Linked DNA regions of Macaca mulatta. Each later gene encodes a partner of the first gene's protein in a complex. Links are inferred from orthologs where the notes say so. Each region holds a gene or a part of one and is shown on either strand. Other genes may lie near its edges.

Region 1 (8,075 bases):
CGGTGGATTAGCATTCAAGATGGAGTTGGTTTAGCCTCCACAACCACCTATTCAAAGAAAATTTAAGGACAAAACTGTATCTACATATATATCTCCAAATATACAAAGTTATTAGCTCATTAGGGCATAGGCAGCTCCCCAGATTCCATAACCTATTAAGGGCCCAGAGAAATGAAACCACAAACTGTAACAGTCACCTTATGAGTCTGCAATAGAAAAATATTTTTTCTTTTCTCTGAAAACAGTTTTAGTTGCCATTCTATAGAAGGGTGCCATGACAGATTTAAAGCACAATGTTTGAATCAGTTACCTGGCAAAGGCACACCAGTGTCTTCCCTATTGTGATGCTATGTCAAACTGGCCAACACACACACACACACACACACACACACACACACACACACAGCAGTGTGGTGCAGAAATCATCTGAGGCTATTCTTTAGTTGCACTGGAGACAGCTGCAATGAGCTGAGAAAAGTGACAAGGTTGAATTTTAAGCTTGGCCTTTTTTGAAGCCTAAGTACCCCTGTTCTCGGTTTTATGTAAGTCATACTCATGCACTTTTGGCAACCTCTGTGTAACAGAGATGCTGTTCAAATTTGAGAGTTCACTTTACTGCTGTATGCAGGGCTCAGATGTTCTTGATTTTGCTTATTTTCTTGCTCTTTATTTGCAGGTAGTGAAATCAAAGTTATCCAAAGAATATCACTTTATTAAAATGAAAACATCAAGACACCATATTGTGGGAAATTATTTCAGCAATCAAAGTAAACTACAACAACAGGACTCGAACAAATTTCCAATCGTGGTATTATGTCAGAGGCCCAATAAATCAGGTTTGTTTTGAAATCCTTCTCAGCAGGATGTGTGCGAGTAAAAGGAGTGTGTAGGCTCCCTGCAGAACTGAATTTGGAACTGGAGACAAGCCATTCACCTAGACAGTGGTCTAGAAGTCAAATCCTGCATGTCACATGCATTTTGGATTGACCACACACACTTGTTCATACCGGCACAGGCTGCACACCAACACACTTGTAGCTAAAACAAAGTAATGATAACACGTTTTCTCACAGCTTTATAATGTCAAGATGTTAGCTTGAATACACCAGTTCGTTTCACAGTGACAGATATACCTAGAAAAAGCTTGCTCAAAGCATAATTATAAACCAGAACCACTGTGGATCAGGTATGGTGCTGCGATGCTAAGGAGAAATATAGACACTAGAATTATGTGGAAAAGAGGATGATAATGCTCTTTAGTCTTGTCTTACCGTTCTCTATAGGCGCCTCAATATTAAAAAGGAGGAAAAGCAATTACATTCCACTTGCAAGTAGAGCTTGTGCTTGAGTTCTTTACATGGAGAAAATGTGGAATCAATGATGGCTTAGGCTTAATGATTATGAAAAACCTTTCCTCCTATGCTTTTTCTTTTTTTCTTTAGTATTCCCAGTATTGCAACAGCCTCCTATACTTTTATTATTACTTTTTTTTGAGACCTCTTATCACCTCTGTAGACATCCCTATGATGTCCTATGATCTCGGCTCACTGCAGCTTCCACCTCCAGGGTTCAAGCGATTCTCGTGCCTCATCCTCCTGAGCAGCTGGAACTAGAGACAGATGCTGCCACGCCCAACTAATTTTTCTATTTTTAGTAGAGACAGAGTTTGACCATGTTGGCCAGGCTGGTCTTGAACTCCTGGCCTAAAGTGATCCGCCCACCTCAGCCTCCCAAAGTGCTGGGATTACAGGTGTGAGCCACTGTGCTTGGCTACTTTTAAAATTTTATTACTGCAAGGAAAAGAATAGGACTGCTCCACAAGGGACTTCAAAGAGATTCTATGACAGAGATACAAAGTGAAACATTTTATGGTTAAAACACCATTACACTTAATTTTGCACTCCTTCCACACTGTCCTGTCTGTGAACTTGGATGGGTAACTTGGATCTGAATTGATGAAATACAGCATTTTAAAGTCAGCAACAAAATGTAGCTCCTCCTGTATTCTTCATTATGTTTCATTGATGATATGACCTAACAAACCTTCTGTTTGCTGTTACGGCCTGATGTAACTTACATTTTATGTAAATATTTTGCAAAGAATTAAGCATTCTCAAATGCATAGCCATTTTTTTCCAGAAAGCATTTGTATATGTCCACAAATAGTTTTATCTTACTGTTATCTATATTTTGATTTTTCTGAGCAACTGTATCCAATCAGGGTTTAGAGTAGGCATATATATATATATGTATATATAGTTTTTTAAATTAAAACTGTGGCATACATATAAAATATACCTAGTTCTTTTCTTTTTCCCTTCCAACTTTTGTTTTTGGATCAGGAGGTACGTGAAAAGTTTGCTGCATGTGTAAATCGTGTGTCACTGGGGTCTGGCACACAAATTATTTTGTCACCCAGGTAGTGACCATAGTACCCGATAGGTAGTTTTCTGATTCTCACCCCCCTCCCACCCTTCACCCTCAAGTAGGAACTCTTTCTTGAATAAATCCAATCCTCACCCATGTTTCTGTTGTTTTCTTGCTTTCTGAAGGTCAACTCTGTGTGACGTCAACACCTGTCTCTCATGTACACCCAACTGTCTGCAGTGCCATGGTGAAAATTTTCAGTATGTAGGACACATTCTCTGAGATCTTAATTCCAGGGGTATACTTAATCACAAGAAGTTGACAAAGCCGGTCTTCACACACTGTCATATCATTACAGTGAAGTGCTCTACAGGGAAAGCCAAAACCACCCACCACATAGCAATACACAGTAATATTCCTTTCCCTTGATAATCTTGGTAGCAACGCAATAACTGGTAAAATAGAAATAAATGTTGCAATGAGACTTAAGAGTGCATTTCAACTAGCTAATGGTGGCAAATTGCATAGGCAAATTAAGGTCCCCCAAACTGCTCTCGTTTTGGGAACATGCATACTGTCTTTGTGTTACAGCCGGGAAAGCAAGCCGGGGTAAATCCTAGCTTGGGCAGGGATGCTGTGGCATGGTAAGACAACCAGCAAAGGCACACATAACAGCACACAGCGTTTCAGGATGTTTCTCTCTTAATAAACAAATTTCTAGGAAGGAAGAAAATCAGTCCCTTGCTTGGCACACCTCTCCATCCAAAAGGCAGTGACTTAATAAGGTAACAATTGAATTACCAGGATACAGATGCTTTGAATAGCTAAGTAGGTCATTGTGTTCACAGGGCAGATGTCAGAACTGCTTGCCAGATGACAAAAGAGATAACCCTAGGCTGTTTTTATTCCATTTATACAAGACTTAACTCACACATTAGAGCCTCTGCTGTTTACAGCTTTACTCTAAGGATCTATTAGGAGGCTCCAAGAAATTCCCTTGTGCCATTTACACCTTTAGAACTTAAAATAATCTGCACATATGGTAATATGAGCCTGACAGACACAGTCCTGCACCCAGCCAGGCAGAGTGGCTGTAAAACAGCGTCTGTGTTTTAGAGGCATTCTGTGCCTGCTGCATTTCAGCACTTGTGACTTAGTAATGTGAACATATGTGTATCAAGACCCTGCAGCCCTTCTGCTTATCGCACTCAAGAAGGAGCTGTCAATGTACAGGGGTTATGGGATTATGCGCCTGTGCTATCTGAACAGATCTCCCCACACTCCATCCGATCCTCCTCAAATCCCACTGACCAAATACTCTCCTTCCCCTAATATTGGCTGTGCTCTCCCCTCACGTCTCCTTTTCCGCCCCACCTTACCTCTCACTGTGGTCTCTAAGACCTCTCATCACCTCTGCAGACGTCCCTCTGATGTCCCCCAAACTCTGTAGCCCCCGCCACCTCTCCAGGTCCTCCATCAATCCTGTAGACCCTCTCCGCAGGCTCATCACCTCTGACCCTTCCATGGGCCCCGATTACCTCTACAGACCTTTCCCACGGCTTCTTATCACCACTACAGCCTCACCACTCTCCCTCTGTTGCTCCTACAGCCCCTTTTCTTACTCAGAGGGACCCTCCCCACGCCGTCATTACCCACATTACTCAAGCAGTTCCACCCCACAGTCGCTGCTGATCCCCGCAAATCTCCAAGGCGCTCCCACAATCCGTGCAGACCCGCGCCCGGCCACCGCCGCCCCGCAGACGCCCCCTCGGCCGCCAGCTTCCGGACGGCGGCGGCCCCGCTTCCCGCCCGGACCGCGGACTCACAGGGCATTCGCGTGAGCACGTTGCGTGGCGCCTTCCTGCTTCGACCGGGACCCCTCCGGCCCGCTCCTGCGGCTCCGTCCCCTTCCTCTTTGGCCACCATGAGACGGCGGAGACGCTGGATGCGCTCGGGGTCCGGGGCGGGCGCGTCCGGGCGGCGGCGAGTCCTGCCTGAGGGCCCGGGCGCGGAGGGAACCCCCGAGCCCGCGGCCGCGCCCCGAGCCCGCCCGCGCCCGCGCCCGCCGCCCCGGACCCCGGTCCTGAGGAAGCTCTCGTACTCCGCCACGTTGTTGAAGCAGGGGGCATTGGGGTAGGGGATGGGAGGCAGGCGGGGCGCGTACAGCGCCAGCAGCGGGTCGAAGCTGTCAGAGCTGACATCCAGCCGCGGGCTGGGCGGGCGCGCGGGACTCGCGGCGCGAGCCGACCTCGCCCCCCGCTCCCGCTCCTCCATGTTTGAAAGGCCCGCAAGCCGAGGCCGATGGGAAGAAGGAGCGGAGCCGCCAGAGGGCGGCACTGCGCAGCCGCGGCGCGGGGTTGCACTGCGCCGACGCGGCCGCCGGAGGGCAGCACCTGTCCTCGTTCCACCCCGGCCGGGGGGCGTGGTGCGCGGCTCCGACCAGCCCGCGCCTCGCACCGCCTCCGCCCACGGCTGACAGGTTAACGCTGTCGGCTGCTGCTTGACCTGCTCCAATGCAGTTTCCCCATCTATATCATTACCACTTAGGGTGTTTGTTAATACTCTGGGTTCCCCGGGAATAAGCTCGGGATCGCATCCTAGCTTGAGCTGCAGGAAACGTCTGGAGGAAGGCAATGAATGTCTCAATTTGCTTCCATGCTGAGTACTACTGATGGGGTAGGAAGAATAGCCTCCTTGGGCTCAAAGTATTTAGCGTCTTTCTCATCTGAAATATGACATAAATAGTACCTACCTTATAGAACTGACCTCAGGATGGGGAGATACTGCCTACAGAGCTCATAATAGATGCATGTCGGCCAATACTGGGTGTCTGTCCTCCATTTCCTATACACTGTGCATAAACAAATTTGCGCTTAGTATCAAAGAAAATTAATTATATCACTGTCTTTCTAAGCATTGCTAAGCAATTGGAAGAAACGAGGATCCAGCTCTTGGAGGAAACTATGGAAAATTCACAAGACCTGATCATACCACTTGCTACTTTATAGTCTCAGTTCGGCAAAATATTTTTTGGTTGATTTTAAAATGACAGTCTACTCTACACAGAAGGCCCAGATACAACCTTCTCATCCATCAGAGCCAAAATGTTTCCACTTACCTACAGGCCACACATCACTTGCCCATCACCACATTCTTGAACTGCCATCAACTAGTGTTCTCTGTACTAGTTGCTTTGTGTACATTTCAGTTTCCTTAAGACTTAGAGAGGATGTCTCCAAGAGAGTACTGGAGAGTACCTTAGACAGCAAGATGAAAATTAATATACAACTGTGATGTATACCTTGGGATGAATGCATTCTACTGCAAAGATAAAACCATCAAGCAGGCCGGGCGCGGTGGCTCACGCCCGTAATCCCAGCACTTTGGGAGGCCGAGGCAGGTGGATCACGAGGTCAGGAGTTCAAGACCAGCCTGGCCAAGATGGTGATACCCCCCCCCCCCCATCTCTACTAAAAATACAAAAAATTAGCCGGGCATGGTGGCACGCACCTGTAATCCCGGATACTCCGGAGGCTGAGGGAGAGAGCTGCTTAAACCTGGAGGAGCGGAGGTTGCAGTGAGCCGAGATCGCACCACTGCACTCCAGCCTGGGTGACAGAGCGAGACTCCGTCTCAAAAAAGAAAAGAAAAGAAAAGAAAAACCAAGCAGTGGCTTCTAATTAGTAGCAGTACAGGTTTCTTTATGGCACAGGTTTTGAACGCAGCTTATCACTTTATTCAGAACCCCCTGCCTGAATAAAAAACTCGAAGCTGCAGAACTGCTGGCAATTCAACAAATGAATGCTTATCCCCACATCATATAACAACACTGAGTGATAGCCTTTATAGTGTCATTTAAGACCCACAGAAAGCACGTTTCTCTAGGTGGTTTTCTTGAAAATTTGTACTCTAATGCCTACTTTTCTGTATTTTGATATAAAATGCTGTCAACTTACCATTAAGTTAAAATTGCCAATCAAGAGCTACATTATCTTACTTCCCACCCAGCCTATCACAGTATACCGAGGGCCTTGCTGCCCAAGGTGCTGTATATTGACAACCATACATATCAGAAGCCTTTGGGGCTAAAAATTGGATTACTGGCTGGGTGCAGTGGTTCATGCCTGTAATCCCAGCACTTTGGGAGGCTGAGGCGGGCGGATCACGAGGTCAGGAATTCGAGACCAGCCTGGCCAATGTGGTGAAAACCCCCGTCTCTACTGAAAATACAAAAATTAGCCAGGCGTGGTGGTGCATGCCTGTAGTCCCAGCTACTCAGGAGGCTAAGGCAGGAGAATCACTTGAACCCGAGAGGCAGAAGTTGCAGTGAGCTGACAGAGCGAGATTCCAAATTTAAAAAAAAAAAAAAAAAAATCAGATTGTTGAGCTTCAAACCTTCCTGGGGGCTGGGAGGAGCCAAAAACGTGCATTTTAAACAAGCATTCCAAGTAATTTTTTTTTTTTTGCATCCAGAAGTTTGTGAACCACTGGTATGATGAGGGTATGTGTATCCTGGGCTACCCGAAGATATACACAAAAGTTAGATATCATATAGTCTATTTGTCTAAGAAAAATAAATGAAAAAGCAAGCCAAAGGAGTTGACATCTTTATTTCTTTCCTCAAAGAGATTTTAGCAATTACCAAACAAGAACCATATCTCCTCTTTCTGTGGAGTGAGAACAGGAAGGGAAAAAATGGCATCAACAGATGGGTTGTCAATTAGTGAGGGATGAGGCCAGCAACCGCCCTTTGAAAAATACGTTTTCTTCTTAGATGTAAATTCTGCAGTGCAAGACGAGGCACTGGGACATGGGTTGTCGCTTACTTTATTTATTTATTTATTTTTTAAGATAGTTTTGCTCTGTCACTCAGGCTGGAGTGCAGCGGCATGATCTCAGCTCACTGCAAAATCCACCTACCAGGTTCAAGCAATTATCCTGCTCCAGCCTTCTGAGTAGCTGGTATTACAGGCACGTGCCACTACGCCCGGCTAATTTTTCTATTTTTAGTACAGACGGGGTTTTGCCATGTTGGACGTGGTGATCTACCCGCCTTAGCCTCCCAAAGTGCTGGGATTACAGGTGTGAGTCACCATGCCCAGCCATGTCTTTTTTTTTTTTTTTTTTGAGATGGAGTTTCGCTCTTGTTGCCCAGGCTGAAGTGCAACGGCACAATCTTGGCTCACCTCAACTTCCGCCTCCTGGGTTCAAATGATTCTCCTGCCTCAACCTCCCGAGTAACTGGAATTGCAGGCATGCACCACCATGCCCAGGTAATTTTTTGTATTTTTAGTAGGGACAGGGTTTCTCCCCATTGGTCAGGCTGGTCTCGAACTCCCAACCTCAGGTGATCTGCCTGCTTGGGCCTCCCAAGTTGCTGGGATTACATACATGAGCCACTGCACCCGGCCTCTTGATTCTCAATAGGGCCAAATAATCCTTTCCCTCCAAAATATAAAACCAGGACAAGAGAAAAATGTGAGTTCTCTCACCTATTCCCACTACCTTCCCCCTTCAGAGGCCAAGTTTGGCTGCATGTGATGATCCTTGCTGCTCTCTGCTGCTCCTCACCCATCTCCACTGACCCAACAGAAGGTGGCGCTACTAACATTATGACTCCCCTGACACCTGCTACCTGTTGATTAGCAGGAGCATGTTTACCCCTCTGCTCTTGAAATCAAATGTCATTTTTCTGATTACATAGAGGC
Region 2 (8,045 bases), on another chromosome or scaffold:
TGGTGCCCAGAGCAGAAGCCACTTGCGGTATGTCTGGTCCAGCTGCTGCCTTGCACAGAGCCAAAGCCTGTGCCGGCGCCTGGAGCTGCCCGTGCCGGGGCTTGGAGCTGCCCACCCGCTGCAGCAGCCAGCATATCTGGCTGTGTGTAGTGGTCGGACCCTGTGCTCACTCACACACCCCTCACGGCTCCACACCTGGCACGCCTTTGGCAGGCGTGGTATCCGGGCCCGTAGTGCGAGCTGAGCTCAGCCTCCAGACTGAGCGGGCAGAACGAGCCCAGCAGGCACAAGCAAAAGTCAAGCACAGGCGCTCCTAGCCACAGAGGTTTCCGCATGGCAAAGTGACACCCTAAGGTTCTTGTGACAGCTGGGACTATAGGCGCACCCACTACACCCAGCTAATTTCTTAAAACATTTTTGGCCAGGCTCGGTGGCTCATGCCTGTAACCCCAGCACTTTGGGAGGCTGAGGAGGGCAGATCACCTGAGGTCGGGAGTTCAAGACCAGCCTGATCAACATGGAGAAACCCGGTCTCTACTAAAAATACAAAAATCAGCCAGGTGTGGTGGCACATACCTGTAATCCCAGCTACTTGGGAGGCTGAGGCAGAAGAATCACTTGAACCCGGGAGATGGAGGTTGTGGTGAGCCGAGATCGGGCCATTGCACTCCAGCCTGGGCAACAAAAGTGAAACTCCGTCTCAAAAAAAAAAAAAAATTTAGAGATGGGGTCTCACTATGTTGCCAAGGCTGGTCTCAAACTCCTGAGCTTGAACAGTCCTCTTGCCTTGGTCTCCCAAAGTGTTGGGATTACAGATGTGAGCCACCCTGCCCAGTCAAGAAGCCTAACTAACTGAGCTGCTTCTCTGTGCCAGGTGCTTTCACACATTAATGAAAGTCACTCAAATCTCCCAGTTCTCTGAGAAAAACCTTATTTTTTGTTTTCATAATAAGGAAATTGAGGCTGAGGAAGAAAGTGATTTTTCCAAGGCTATACAGAATGACTTTTAAAAAATGTAAATCAGGGGCCGAGAGCGGTGGCTCAAGCCTGTAATCCCAGCACTTTGGGAGGCTGAGACGGGCGGATCACGAGGTCAGGAGATCGAGACCATCCTGGCTAACACGGTGAAACCCCGTCTCTACTAAAAAATACAAAAAAACTAGCCGGGCGAGGTGGCGGGCACCTGTAGTCCCAGCTACTTGGGAGGCTGAGGCAGGAGAATGGTGTGAACCTGGGAGGTGGAGCTTGCAGTGAGCTGAGATCCGGCCACTGCACTCCAGCCTGGGCGACAGAGCGAGACTCCGTCTCAAAAAAAAAAAAAAAAAAATGTAAATCAGGTAGGGCACAGTGGCTTGTGCCTGTAGTCCCAGCTATTCTTGAGGCTTGGGCAGGAGGATCACTTGAGCCCAGGAAGTTGAGGCTGCAGTGAGCTATGATCACATCACTGCACTCCAGCCTGGGTGACACGGTGAGACCCTGTCTCTACAAGTAAATCAAATCACGTTGCTCCCTTTCAATAGCCTATCATAGCACTTCTAGTACTAGTTGAGAAGACGGAAGCACAGAGAAGATAGCTAACTTGCCCAGTCACAGCCAGGAGCAGATTTGAGCCTAGGCACTGTATCCGGAGGCTGCACTCCTAACCATGAAATCTAAACTCCTTACCTTGGCTCACAAAGTCCTATATGCTCTGGCTCCTGCTTCCTCTCTGGTCTCTTGTTATACCACTCTCCCCAGCTTCCCTGGCCTTTCCTGTGTTCCTAAATTGTCAAGGTCATTTCCCCCAGGTTCTTTGCATGAATTGTGAAAAGAAAAAAATTGACTTTTAATTGGTGATTTGGCTTTTATTTGCTAAATTTGTTAAATTTGGGTTTTATTTGCAACTCTAGAATTGGGCAACATCTCATTCTATAAAACGGAATGAGTGTTCAAATAAGCTGAGCAGAGGAGATTAGTTTTACAGACAGAAAAGGGCTGAGGAAAGCAGAAACAGAAAACAAAAAGCAGATTGGTTGTTTCAAAGTTACTTTCCTTGTAACTTTGAAGGCTAAAGCAGAGGGGACTTCCTTATCCTGCCAGCTAAAACTGGATGGTTTGGAGATTTAAGTATCTCTCACTCTTCTGATTTATCTGAATATCAGATAAGCAACTTAGTTTCCACTTGGTGATGTGGAACTTTAGCATGAGTGACTCCATTTTGGTTTTGTCTGTTGGGCTTGGTGCAGGAGCCCTGTCCAAACCAATGGCTGCCTTTTTTTTTTTTTTTTTCTTTGAGACGGAGTCTTGCTCTGTTGCCCAGGCTAGAATGAAGTGGTACAATCTGAGCTCACTGCAGCCTCCACTTCCTGGGTTCAGGCAATTCTCCTGCCTCAGCCTCCCGAGTAGGTGGGACCAGAGGTGTACACTACCACAGTGGGCTAATTTTTTCTATTTTTTGTAGAGACAGGGTCTCCCTATGTTGCCCAGACCAGTCTCGAACTCCTGGGCTCCAATGATCCTCCCGCTTTCTCCTTCCAAAGCGCTGGGATTACAGGTGTGGGCCTCCGCGCCCAGCCCTGCCTCCTATAAATTTTATTTAACAAACTGTTCCCTCTAATTGCAATGCTCCGCCCATAGTTTTCACAAGCTTGGCGTCATGTCACTAATCCCAACTCAAATGTCACCTTCTCAGGACACCCCTGACAATCCAATAAAAGACCACCTAGTCACTACCACGTCACACTTTCAATCTTCTAAAGAACTTTTTCCCTATTTTTCTTGTTTGTTTTCCTAAGACTCTCTCCCCTGCAGCGCCATCAGCTCGGGGAGCCACTTGATCTTGGTCACTGCTCTATGCCGGAGCCTAGGAAGCAGCCTGGCCCAGGGTGCCCGTTCAAGAACGCGTGCGGAGTGAATGAACGACTAGTGAAGGAGACTTCAATGACGCAGGCCGGCATTTGCTGAGCGCGAGCCCCGCGCCGCGAAGCATTCTGGGAATCGTAGTTTCTCCGTGCCGCGATGACTCGCAGAGCACAGACGCACTCTGCGCCGGGAGGACAGAGCGGCCCGGTCGCCGGCGTGGTTTCTCCGTCCTGCTGCAGCCGGCGGGAGGCAGCCCGTCCAGGCGCCCGCTAGCTTCGGCGGCGACCCAGACGGGGAAAGCGGAAGGAATGTCGCGTGGTGGGTCCGGGTCGGCGGTGCAGGGAGCCGCGGGGCGGAATGTGGGGTATGCCAGGACCTCCGGAAGGAGGTGCCGGAGCCCAGGAAGCGTTTTCTTCCCCATTTACCGAGTATAGCTCATTTCCCCAGACCCGCTCCCGCTGCTCTGAGTAAGGGGTGCTCATCCCGTTTTACCGGTAGCTTAGCTAGCTTGGAGAAGCTAAGTGGTTTGCTAAGTGGTCTCCCTCCTAGAAGGTGGCAGAGCCTGTCCTAGAACCCGGGCCTGACTCGAGGTCTAGTGATTGCTCTTTGCAGTCGCAGCAGCAACCCCATACCTTTGCTTGATCGCAGATTCGTCAGGCTGCAGCCTGGTGGCTGGTCGTTAGGCCCTGCCCAAGGACTTAGCTCCCAGCCCCGCTCATCACTGGCCTAGTCTAGCTTGCCACGCTCAGTGCCACACTGCACAGCCCTGGACGGGATGCTGAGTGAGGTCGTAAAGAGAGAGCGTTGCACCCCCGTTAACTCAGGGTCTGAAAATAAGGGATAGGTAAGACCTAGTGCACTAATACAATATCGGGGTACGTTGAAATCAAAGGAGAGTACCTTCAGTGGAGTGTGATTCTGGTAGCTTTGTTTCGCCTGTAGTTTAATAAATGTGGAAACAGGTTCAGAGACATTAACTTTTCTAGGTTTACATAATTAGGGGTGGAGTGGGGATTCCAGCCTGGGTTTCTCTACCTTCAAAACCTATGTACCTTATATACTACCGGTTGGGTTTCCCCCCCCCCCCAATTCATTATCTAGATTTATTTTCTTTCTTTTTTTTTCTGAGAGTCTCGCTCTGTCACCCAGGCTGGAGTGCAGTGGCACAATCTTGGCTCACTGTAACCTCTGCCTCCTGGGTTCAAGCGATTCTCCTGCTTCAGCCTCCCAAGTAACAGATTACAGGTGCTCCCATGCCCAGGTAATTTTTGTATTTTTAGTGGATACTGGGTTTCATCATGTTGGCCAGGTGGGTCTTGAACTCCTGACCTCAGGTGATCTACTCCCCTTGGCCTCCCAAAATCCTGGGATTACAGGCGTCAGCCCCTGCGCCCAGCCTCATTACCTAAATTTCTACTTACCTAACAGCTGCATGGTATAGACCAATAGTTCCCAGAGTGTGGGCCCCTGACCAGCAGCATCAGCATCACCTGGGAATATGTTCGAAATGACTCTCTCTGGCCTCACCTCAGACCTCCTGAGTCAAACTGGGAGTGGGGCCCAGCAAGCTGAGATAACAGGCCCCTCAGATGATTCTGATACACACTGTATGTATCAGATGATTCTGATAATGTATGAGAACTACTGGTGTCAAGCACCGAGTCTCAAACCTTCACGTGTATCTAATTCACATACGGGGTCATGTTGAAATGCAGAGTCTGTTTCCAGTCAGTGTGGAAGAATGGCAGTGAGCCACTCAGTGAAGGAGTGGATTATCTCAGAACAGGCCTGGGGAGAGACCTGAGATTATGCATTTCTAACCAGTACCCCTCAGCACTTTGGAGTTACCTGGGGAGCTTTTTTTCTTCTTCTTTCTTTTTTTTCTTTTTTTTTTTTTTTTTTTGAGATGGAGTCACTCCGTCGCCCAGGCTGGAGTGCAGTGACGTGATCTCGGCTCACTGCAAGCTCTGCCTCCCATGTCCACGCCATTCTCCTGCCTTAGTCTCCCCAGTAGCTGGGACTACAGGTGCCGCCACCATGCCCGGCTAATTTTTTTGTATTTTTAGTAGAGATAGGGTTTCACCGTGTTAGCCAGGATGGTCTCGATCTGACCTCATGATCCGCCCACCTCGGCCTCCCAAAGTGCTGGGATTACAGGCGTGAGCCACTGCGCCCGGCTGGAAACTTTTACAAAATAGGAAATCTGGGCCCACCCCTCTAACCAAATGAATCAGAATCTGGGGTGGGGAAGGTCGAGTTAAAAACTCGCCAGATGATTCTAATGTACACCTGGTGTGAGGTTTGGAGCCAGGCGGCTATGGATTTTTTTTTTTTTTTTTTTTTTTGAGACAGAGTCTCTCTCATGCAGGCTGGAGTGCGGTGGCATGATCTTGGCTCACTGCAGCCTCCACCTCCCGGATTCAAGCGATTCTCCTGCCTCAGCCTCCGGAGCAGCTGGGATTATAGGTGCACACTACCATGCCCGGCTAATTTTTGTATTTTTAGTAGAGACAGGGTTTTACCATGTTGGCCAGGCTGGTCTTGAATTCCTGGCCTCCGGCGATCCACCCGACTCAGCCTCACAAAATGCTGGGATTACAGGTGGGAGCCACCATGCCTGGCCTACGGCTACGGATTTGAATTCCAGCAATTCCACTTATTTACTGTGACCTTGGTCAAGTTACCTCTCCTAGCCGTATTTTTTGTTTTTAAAAGTTATTGATTTATTTAAATTAATGTATTAGGAATGATACTGACTTTTGTTGTTGGTCCTAATAATTTATCTTGAATTCTCAATGTAGATAATCATATAATTGACAAACAAGGACAGTGATCTTCCTTTATAATTATTGTTTCTCTAAATTCTTTCCCTTCCCTTCTTTCTGTAATCGTTTTTTTGAACGTTGCATTGACCATTACCTACGTTTTACTGTTGATTAGAAGCCATAAAAGGCATCCTTTTCTTGTCCCTGGCTCAATAGAAATGATCATCATTTTCTTTATTTTTTGAGACAGAGTCTTGCTCTTGTTGTCCAGGCTGGAGTGCAATGGCGCGATCTTGGCTCATTGCAATCTGCCTCCCGGCTTCAAGCAATTCTCCTGCCTCAGCCTCCTGAGTAACTGAGATTACAGGCGTGTGCCACCACGCCCAGCTAATTTTTTGTATTTTTAGTAGAAATGGTGTTTCACCGTATTAGCCAGGCTGGTCTCAAACTGAGTGGATCTCGCTATGTTGCCCAAGCAGGTCAGCAGAACTCTTGGGCTCAAGTGAAGCTCCTCCCTCAGTCTCCTGAGTAGCTGGTACTACAGGTGTATCCCAGTGTGCCTGGCCATCCTAGCCATATTTTTCTCATTCATAAAATAAGCATAAGTAATCCTTGGCTTGCAAGTTGGTGTGAGGATTCCATGAGACATGTGCGGGAAGTATCTGTGTCCACAGATACAAAAATTGCAGAGGTGGTCTGTGCTGGGAATTTTGTTTGAGAACCTGGTGGAGGTGAGTTGGCAACTGTACCCCCTACCCTGCTATAGCTGCCATCTGTGTGCTCCTGTCCACAGCAAGCAGGCAGCTGGTGTGGAAGAATGGCACTGAGCCATTCAGTGAAGGAGCGGACCATCTCTGAGAACAGCCTGATCATCCTACTGCAGGGCCTCCAGGGCCGGGTAACCACTGTGGACCTGCGGGATGAGAGCGTGGCCCATGGACGCATAGACAATGTCGATGCTTTCATGAACATCCGCCTGGCCAAAGTCACCTACACGGACCGTTGGGGGCATCAGGTCAAGCTGGATGACCTCTTTGTGACAGGCCGCAATGTCCGCTACGTCCACATCCCAGATGACGTGAACATCACCTCGACCATTGAGCAACAGCTGCAGATTATTCATCGGGTGCGGAACTTTGGTGGCAAGGGCCAAGGCCGGTGGGAATTTCCCTCCAAAAACTATAAGTGAGGCCCTCAGCAAGCCCTGGCCCCAACTCGGCTTCCTCCAGTGTTCTCTGGAGCCAGCTCCCTGCCCTCACACCCTGTCTAGAACCCGAGAAGAGAGCAGGGCCAGGCCAGAAGCTGGTGTCCAACAGACACCACCTGTCAAAGCTGCGTTTCACAGGGTTCCACCTCCCAGACTCCCTCTGGGACCCAGAATCCTATCTGTCTGTGGCCTTGGGGTAGGTGACAATCCCCCTTTTTGATGATCTGAATCTCTGACTTATTGATCATGGAACCTGTCAAGTAGTTTTCAACTCTCCCAGTGAGGATAATTAAACATGCTCAGTCTAAGCCACCTCTAACTGTCTCCATTCCTCTTGCAGTTGTGTTCATTTTCTTGTGAAACCCAACTTGAATACAAACAGGTCCATGCCCCAGGCCTTCCCTTCTGTGTGCTGGGCTCCCAGACCGTCCTGTGTAGTCGGGGGCAGACTCAAGCTTGGCTGCACATTGGAATCACCTGTCCCACCCTCAGAGATTCATATTTCGTTGGTATGGGGTATGATCTGAGGGCTGGGAGTTTTTTAATTTCCCAGGCAATTCTAATATGTAGCAATTTGAGAATGGTAGGAGAGTACTTCAGTCTGGGCAGGTGGAAAATGGCTTTTCTACTCAGTCCCTGTTGAAGAGGCTGTTAGTCTCATTGCTGTTTCTTGAAGCAGAGAGATTGGAGTAACCTGGGCCCTCCCCTGGGGTGTGAGAGCTCTGCTAATAGCAGGAATTCCATCTCTGATCTGAGAATTATTGGGTTCTCAGGGTTAGAACCCAAGTCCTTGTAGTAGCTGTCTTGTCATTCTAGGCCTGCCACAGGCAAACAACTGTCTTAGTGAAAGTGGCTCACTTGTGGTCAGGAGTTCGAGACCGGCCTGGCCAACATAGTGAAACCCCGTCTCTACTAAAAATAAAAAAATAAAAAAAAAATTAGCCGGGCGTGGTGGTGCACACCTGTAATCCCAGCTCCTCAGGAGGCTGAGGTGGGAGAATCGCTCGAATTGAACCAGGAGGTGGAGGTTGCAGTGAGCCAAGATCACGCCACTGCACTCCAGCCTGGGCAACAGAGGGAGACTCTGTCTCAAAAAAAAAAAAAAGAAAAGAAAGAAAATGGCTTTGTCCTGTGGAACCAGAGAGTTTGAACTCATCAGATATCCACAGCACACCTGCCATGTGCCAAGGCCTTCTGCTAAGCACACATCATCTTTTTGTTTTGTTTTGTTT

Evidence for each region. The genes of interacting proteins can lie anywhere in the genome.
Region 2: LSM11 (region 1) and LSM10 share a complex: the UniProt entries of both Homo sapiens proteins name them as parts of the heptameric ring U7 snRNP complex. The link is inferred for Macaca mulatta from reciprocal best matches to the Homo sapiens genes LSM11 and LSM10.

The regions. Positions count from the first base shown.
Region 1 is NC_133411.1:166,619,973-166,628,047, reverse strand, and holds the start of LSM11 (U7 snRNA-associated Sm-like protein LSm11), read right to left. Parts: upstream 4,653-8,075; 5' UTR 4,642-4,652; coding exon 4,194-4,641; intron 1-4,193. UniProt on the Homo sapiens protein: Component of the U7 snRNP complex that is involved in the histone 3'-end pre-mRNA processing. Increases U7 snRNA levels but not histone 3'-end pre-mRNA processing activity, when overexpressed. Required for cell cycle progression from G1 to S phases.
Region 2 is NC_133406.1:204,392,343-204,400,387, forward strand, and holds LSM10 (U7 snRNA-associated Sm-like protein LSm10), read left to right. Parts: upstream 1-3,071; 5' UTR 3,072-3,159; intron 3,160-6,399; 5' UTR 6,400-6,423; coding exon 6,424-6,795; 3' UTR 6,796-7,125; downstream 7,126-8,045. UniProt on the Homo sapiens protein: Appears to function in the U7 snRNP complex that is involved in histone 3'-end processing. Increases U7 snRNA levels but not histone 3'-end pre-mRNA processing activity, when overexpressed. Required for cell cycle progression from G1 to S phases.